Arabidopsis thaliana: one gene and its partner. The protein of the gene in region 1 interacts with the protein of each later gene in a pairwise test. Each region holds a gene or a part of one and is shown on either strand. Other genes may lie near its edges.

The links.
Region 2: the proteins of AT1G11210 (region 1) and ERF2 interact in a two-hybrid assay, tested with the Arabidopsis thaliana proteins (one large-scale study listed by BioGRID).

Annotation. Positions count from the first base shown.
Region 1 is NC_003070.9:3,754,895-3,758,698, reverse strand, and holds AT1G11210 (cotton fiber protein, putative (DUF761)), read left to right. Parts: upstream 1-1,700; 5' UTR 1,701-1,787; coding exon 1,788-2,328; intron 2,329-2,437; coding exon 2,438-2,823; 3' UTR 2,824-3,031; downstream 3,032-3,804. Other genes in the region: AT1G11200 (organic solute transporter ostalpha protein (DUF300)), read right to left, coding at 3,240-3,446.
Region 2 is NC_003076.8:19,170,952-19,175,018, forward strand, and holds ERF2 (ethylene responsive element binding factor 2), read right to left. Parts: upstream 2,006-4,067; 5' UTR 1,804-2,005; coding exon 1,072-1,803; 3' UTR 692-1,071; downstream 1-691. Other genes in the region: AT5G47210 (Hyaluronan / mRNA binding family), read right to left, coding at 1-61.

The DNA of each region.
Region 1 (3,804 bases):
ATATTAACTAAAATTGGAATTTCGTATTGCTCTTCTTGTGCTAGATGAGATGTGAATCAAATGAAGCATGGGGATATTATTATTATTGTGAGAACGTCAAAAATACCTTTTGAAATTTCTTACCTTCTAATTTGTTAAAGACGGAATGTCATTGTCTGTAATTTTCTTTTTATAAGTATATAATAATTTAGTACATCGATCTTTCAAATGGTAATATTTCTAATTTATATATTCAATCCAAATGAAAATAAACAATCAAATCAAACAAACAAAGTTTACGTTTATATAACACTGTTAACTATATATGTGTTTGCTCTTTCGAGTCAAGCAACCATTATAACATATCCCTTTTTAAGAAATCATCAATGAGATATTAAAGAAAAACCTAAGAGCTTTTTTAGATATATCAAAAGGGTAAGATCCGAAAATGTAAGGATAATATCTGTGGTTTGAGCAGTAGTAGTATTTTCATCATTGCTGTAAGCGAAATTAGTAGTGGTCGACAAAGAAAAAGATTAAATAGTAAAGAGTGGATGGCCACTTGGGACGAGTCGGAGTCAAATATACGACGACAGTTGGAGAAACTTGACATCTACCTTGGCCCGTTCTTACTTCTTAACTCTTAAAAATACCTTAGTGGGTTTCTGCCGTCAGGGATAATTTTTATTATGAAATCCTTCATTTTAATCCGGTGACATAAATAAGATACTAGATCATTTGAAAGATAAATAATGTATCATAATAATAAAAATAGTGTTTTTGCGTTTTTGGCGATACTCATACTATGGATTAATTTGTTTTGTGGTAGGATATTATTTAATATGAGTAAAATACTTAACAATTTAATTATTTTAAGAAAAGAATTTAATGTCATTTTCTTGTAACATCTTATCAACTAGAGATTATACACTATAAACTTTTGTATCAAGCCGTTTTTAAAATTATGTGAGATTTTACTTTTTCTAAAAACAATTCAATGATATGATTTCTCTTGTTTTTACTTGATTGTCCTTATATAAACCAACCAAAAAAATACTATACTTTAATACTTGTTAAGTAATATTAAATATCCATCTTAGATATTTTACAACTCTTTTTAGGTAAAGATATTTTACAACCTTTTCTTTTCTTTGTTTTGCAAAAGGTTTTTAACAACGCTTTACATCCAATGCAGTTTGTAATCTATAAAAGAACATATAAACTTATACTCCGTAAAGTAATTAGTTATGAATTCGCTCAAAACATTATTCTCGTTTGTCTAAAATTAACATAAAACCCAATATACCGGTAAAAGTAAACATACATGCAAGGCTAAAAGACGTGGGCATAACGTGTGATTGGGAAACCATCGGAAACAAAAATAAGGAATTATAACGAATGGCCATACTAGGTTGACTAATAAGAGAATTATTATTTGACGTATATAAGATAATAAGACAATTATGGGATAAAATTAAGAGACATAAGTGTGGACACGTGAAGCTTAGAGTACGTGTCAATATTCAATAAGACATAAACAACAACAAAAAAAAGGGTTTATTCTCTACTCTTGTTTTGTTTATACAAGAGGATGCATCTACTGCCCCAAAACAATCCTGACCGTTCATGTCTCTATTCTTAGATCCAACGGTATGTATCAGCTATCTCATTGTCCCCTCTCATAGCTTTCTATATAAACCGAAAGAAAGAATAATAGAGTCAGAGCTAAGACTTAAGAGCGTCACAACAATATCACACTCAGATAAATATCAAGAGATAGAGAGAGTAACAGTGATATAGTCGAGAAAATGGCGTCGTGGATGAAAGCGGTGCTAATCTCTACTGGCGTCGTAGCCACGGCTATGCATCTAAAGGTTATTGTTCCTGTGGCTATGGATTTCTCACAAAATCCGATTATTTTGAGCTCTTTCCTCACGTGGCTGAAACCGCCGTATCTTTACGTCATCACTAACGTCATCATCATCGTTGTCGGAGTTTCCTACCGGATTACTACTGTCTCCAGCCACGTCGACGGCAAAGACTATGAGGCTTCTTACAGTGGCGACAATAAGTTTCAGACTGATCATCAGCAGATCGTCCAAGAAGCTCCTCTAAGGCGACGAACGGAGACGAAAGATGCGGATTTTGGTTTCATCGGCAAAGTTTTGCAGATCGTTAAGGAGCCGGAGGTTGTGTATGAAGAGAAGGAGAGGCCGGCGACGGTAGAGGAGGAGGAGAAGAAGTGTATAATTGTGGTGAGCAAATCGGAAAATCAACCTCCGGTGGAGAAGCCTCTTGTTACGGCTAGGATCGGCCAAAAGAAACCGGTGGTTAAGACTACACCAGCAGGTAATTTAATTTAGATATTTAATCACTAAGGTGACGTCATCCGAATTTAGATATTTTATAAAAATCTAAAAACACTATTTGTTAAAAGGTTAATTTCGTAATTTTTCAGAAAGGAATTCTATGAGAGCGTTGAGAGTTGCGAAACCGAAACGTAACGAGACGTTAGAGAATACGTGGAAGATGATTATGGAAGGCAACAAGTCAACGCTTCCGTTGACCAGTTATTACAAGAGACCCGACACGTTCGGACTTGGCGAAGAGACAAAACAATCAGGTGTTTTGAAGAAATCGGAGACGTTTAGTGACAGAACTAACTGTTACCAGTCTCTGCCGCCGCCACCTCCGCCGCTAGTGAAGGTGAAGAAGGTGAAAGTGTCACGGAGTAGGGATGAGCTTAACCGGAAAGTAGAAGCGTTTATAAAAAAATGCAACGACGAGAGGTTCGCGTCGATGAAACTGGACAACGAAGTGGCTCGTCATGGTCTTTCTTATTAAAATCATTTTCTTCATAATTTTTTTGGTTGTCTTTCAATACACGACAATAACAAGTTAACAAAAGTAGAAAGTCACGGATAAACAAAATCTCTGCTTTGTATTATTGATTGGATAAGGGTGGAATTGGTTGGTGCACCTAGTGATATTTCTTCTTCGTTAACAATGTAATTAAAAGTCATTGAATAGATATTTTCTCCTCTGCGTAAAGCCAAAGATATTAGTTAATGGGAACACTATAATTCAATCTACTTTATAATGCTCTTTCTTTCCTAAAATAGGAAAACAAATAAACAAAGGTACATTATCAATCACGATGGTAGTGGTAACATAACAACATTAACATTCACATTAACCAAAAAAAGAAGAAGATAAGATCTTCTCTGGTCTAAATTTGGAAAGAGTCTGCACTCTCAGAATCAATCTCTCTTGTTGAATCTCATCTTAGCTTCAGTTTCTCCACTGTAAGGAGCAACGTGAAAAGCGTACTGTTGAATGATGGAGAAGACGATCATCTCAAGACATACAAGCACATTTTGCAGAGCTTCTTCAAGCTGATCCACCTCCAACCAGAAATGATGCGACTTAATTAATCCCAATCCCACCAATATCTTCAGGACTATTCCCTGTGCAACACATAATTCCCAAGGTTTAAGAATGGAACAAGGCGAAAAATTAGACATGAATGCTTTAAACTTGACCCAATGTAGCAGTGATCCTAAAATCTATTGAGATGAGACTTTTTTGTGTCTCAAGTACCAACCAACAAGCTCTAAACGGTTTTCGTTCGCTACACAATCGAAAGACTTAGATTAAGGAGAAAAATCTCAACGCTCAGACCATATGCACATTACAAAAATCCTAGACAAAAGAGTTCCCCTTTAAACCTTCAGCTCTCAACTAAATAGCCTACGGTCTGTTGTTGAGCTGGCAAAGCTACAATTCCTTGTTAAAGTAGTCCTGCAAACCTTAATGGTCTAATTC
Region 2 (4,067 bases), on another chromosome or scaffold:
CGAGCTGGCTTGGATCCTCAGCATCATCTCCTAGAAGATCGAAAGGGTTCAAAGACGCCATCACCAGTCTGGTAAGATCGAGTTAGGTACAAGTCACAGGAGAAATTGGTTTACTTTGATGGGTTTATAGAGAGGGAAATCAGTAATTCATGGCGATATACAGAATCAGAAAAAAGAGGTACTTGAAGAGAGATTATTCGGACAGAGCTGTTTGTGTTTAAGAGATAGCGAAACAAGAACCCTAAGAAAAGATGCGGCAGTGAGAGAGAGAGGTGCGACTTAAAAACCTAATCTATAAACCCTTCCTGAGTTATTATTCTCTGCGGCGGGTGCTATTTAACTGTGTTCTGGTCCTCTCTTTATCTATCCGTGGGCTACAAACTGGTTAAGCCCATTAACAATAATAAATATCAGCTCTCGTTGGTTAAAGCCCATTAATGAAAAGAATATTCGTTCTTAGTCCATTAAGAGAATAACTGGGTTTCAATACTGAATCCTCTAGGCGAGACACGGTTTTTCTCATTCTAAACCTTTATTGGGTTCAAAGTTTTATGTGCTTCAAAAATCAAAGATATAAATTGATTGCTTAAATGAATTTTCTCTAGCAGAGCCTTTGCTTGTCGACCTTAGACAGCTTCATCTTCTCAAGAGTATCAAACAGAAACATTTACAAGTGATTACACACTTAAGCTCACAACATTTACAACAAAAAAAAATCTAAAATAGATAGGTTATTATTTATTGTCGCGCTACTGTTGATGGATTTTGGTTTTAGTAATTGTTACCTCTTCGATCAAGTTTTGGCTACTTAGCAATATAGAACTCAAATTGAGTTAAGAGATTGTATTAGGGGATATGGTGTAATACTTTAATAAAGCCGTGAATGTCATGTAAGAAATGAAACTAGATTGAAAAATTAACACTCACGGCTTTATTAAAGTGTCTATTTTGTTTATGGATTGAAGATATATGGCTCTGTTTAGTAACTAATTTACATCACGGGAACACTTTTACTTGGTGCCTCAACATTTATAGCAAAACTATTCAACTACAAAACACACAAGATCAAACTTATGAAACCAATAACTCATCAACACGTGTCTCATCACCAACCTCACACTTCACCTGCACCACCTCCGACGTCAGATTCTCTGCTTTTCTCCTTCGTTTCAACTTCCCGTTTTCAGACGACGACGTAGAAGAGGACGACGACGACGACGACGAAGAAGATCTCTTAGACGTGATCCGAACCGGGTCAGGTTCACCGGAATTAACCCTCAACGGAAAATTCAATAAAGCGCGGGAACCACGCATCCTAAAAGCAGCTATATCGTAAGCTAAAGCCGCATCTTCCGCCGTCTCAAACGTCCCTAACCAAACCCTAGCTCCATTCTTCGCCGGATCACGTATCTCCGCCGCGAATTTCCCCCACGGTCTCTGCCTCACTCCTCTGTAATGCTTCGCCTTCACTGCCGTCTCCGTAACCGGTATCGCTTTCTTTGGTTTCTCCTCCATCGCCGTAAAGTTCTCAGTTGGCTCGACTTTAACCGCCGGAAAATCAAAAAGACAGCTCAAGTCCGATGATGACGTGTCAAAATGGAAGGCATCTTTGAGGAGTCCGTACACCAACATGTCCTCTGAATCATTCTCTTTCAATGGCAAACCTCCCCAACTCTCTGTGAAACACGAACTCGGTGTTGACTCATTGAGTCGCAGCTCGTTCTCTCCTCCTCCTCCTAGCAAGTGACGTGTTATCGACTCCAACAAAGCGTAGTCGGATTCTATATTGCACTGTCCGTACATTTTCAGAGAAACTAACTATAGAGTTTTTTTTGTTTTGTTGATTGATTTATCAAATATCTGAACTTTTTTCTATGTGGAAGGTGGTTAAGAGGTTTATATAGAGGGTACGAGGTTCACGAACCTGGAAAAAAAGAAAAAGTTTTTCATGTTTTTCCAAATTTGTTTTAGTTTAGTGGGTAATTAAAAAATATGAAAGTTGTGGATTTTTCGTTACTACGAAGGTTCGTGAATTAAACACGTGCGCTTTATCCACAGATATCACAATGAAGAAGGGTCAAGATGACGTCATGTGGTCATGACATTTCTGGAAGAAAGATGCTGATTTGGTTTTGTCTCTCAACTTGTCCCTTGTTTTGTCGTTCGGTTTTGAATACGATTCCCGGTTTTATTAGGCAAAACTAGTGTTTAATTAGTTTGTTAATCGAAAACCAAGGTCTTAATTCATTATACTTTGTTATATCGACATAAATTTTCAACTAAACTTATATTTCATCGCCTTACACTAGAGTAATAATTTTTGCTTAAGTATACTTTATTAGATAGTATTGGCAAGTATATTATATGTTTAATTACATGAAATCTAAGCTTAGATCTTGTTATGGTGGTGAATGAAAAATCTTAACGAGGTGGGCCATAATTATATGAATGGGGACACTGAAAGTGTCTGCAAAAATCGGGATACATTTCTCCTGGTCACCAACCAATTCATATCATCATCTTTCCCTTTCACCTTTCATTTTTACTAATTTCTAATTTAGAATTTTCCTAATTGCCAATGTCATGTTTATTTTAGTACTTTTTGATACAAGATTTCATGATTAAGAAATTCATTAGTGCCACTTTAGTCAATAAATATGGAGTAGTGAAATCATAGTGATAAAGTTTTCATGCAAAGCTCAATTTACAAACCACAGTTTAATCCATATTTGTTGCATTTCTTTTCTTTCTTTTTTGAAAATATAACAGCCTTAGATCTTTTTGTACACCAATGATTTGGAATTTTGTGGATAATTATTGAATTTCCATCTCTTTCTATTGGCTAAAAGTCAATAACAACAATAAGGCTCAAAGACAAATTAATGGTGGGTCTCTCACGTATGTCCACTTGCAAAAGGGACCTCCTTCACGGAAGCATAGTTTAGTCAATAGTCACTCAAACTCTCTAAAAATTAGTTTACTATATATTTTTAATCTATATTCGATTCCAAGAGTAGTTTTGGTTCAAACACATCATTCTGGTCAGATGGTTATTTCAATTTTGCTGTTTTTGAGTGTATATATGATGTTATGTTTGTAAACAAATGAAACTTTTAATTGATTACAAGAACATGAATAGCTCTAAATATGATTAAAAACGAATTTATTTATTTCTTTGGTAAAAGAATAATGATAATATACTTATGGATCCAATCAGGTTAAGTTCCGTTTTGCAATTAAATACTTTGATTAATTAAATATGAAAGTAGTAGTTGAACTTTCGTTTTTATGTTTGAACTCCGCAGCTAATCCTCAAATTATCTCTTTGGACGTTTCACATACATCCACTTTTGCTGTATCTTAGGAATATATTGTTTTCATATTGTTTCTTGTTTCTTTATGATTTGGGTTTATATAATTTTCAAATGTCATGATGATCATCATTTAATCTTAGTTGTTTTAGTCACATCTTATTATGCTTATTATTAGTCGGTGATAGTTTAATTTTAAGACGTAAATCATCTATTCTCATATTATGCTAGAACAAACTTTTTCTTTGTGCAACCTCCTAGAACATATAGTCGCCTATTATCCATGGATCCCAGATACTCCTCCAAGACCACCGAAAGGTTTAATTATGGATAGGAACCCTTTGGTCTACGTTAACACCTTGATTGACTTCCAGACGAAGAGGTGGAAAGTAGATCGTCTACGGGAGTTGTTCCCCCCCCCCCCCCCCCGAGGATATTACTTTGATTTTAGGGATAAAACCGAGGCTAAATGTCTCGCGAGATGGATATAGTTGGACATTGACTAAGTTCGGTAATTATACTGTCAAGACAAGATATGAAGCTGCGAGAGCCCTCTCTCGCCCGTCTTGCGACCACCCTCTTCAGGGACCTAGTGTTACGGCACTAAAGGCGCAAGCGTGGAAATTAAAAACTACACGAAAGCTAAAGCATTTTGTGTAGCAATGTGTGTCAGAGTGTTTAGCAACTTGTCAACGCCTATATTTTCGCCATATTGGTAGAGATAAAAAATGTCCTAGATGTGGGGCGGATGAAGAA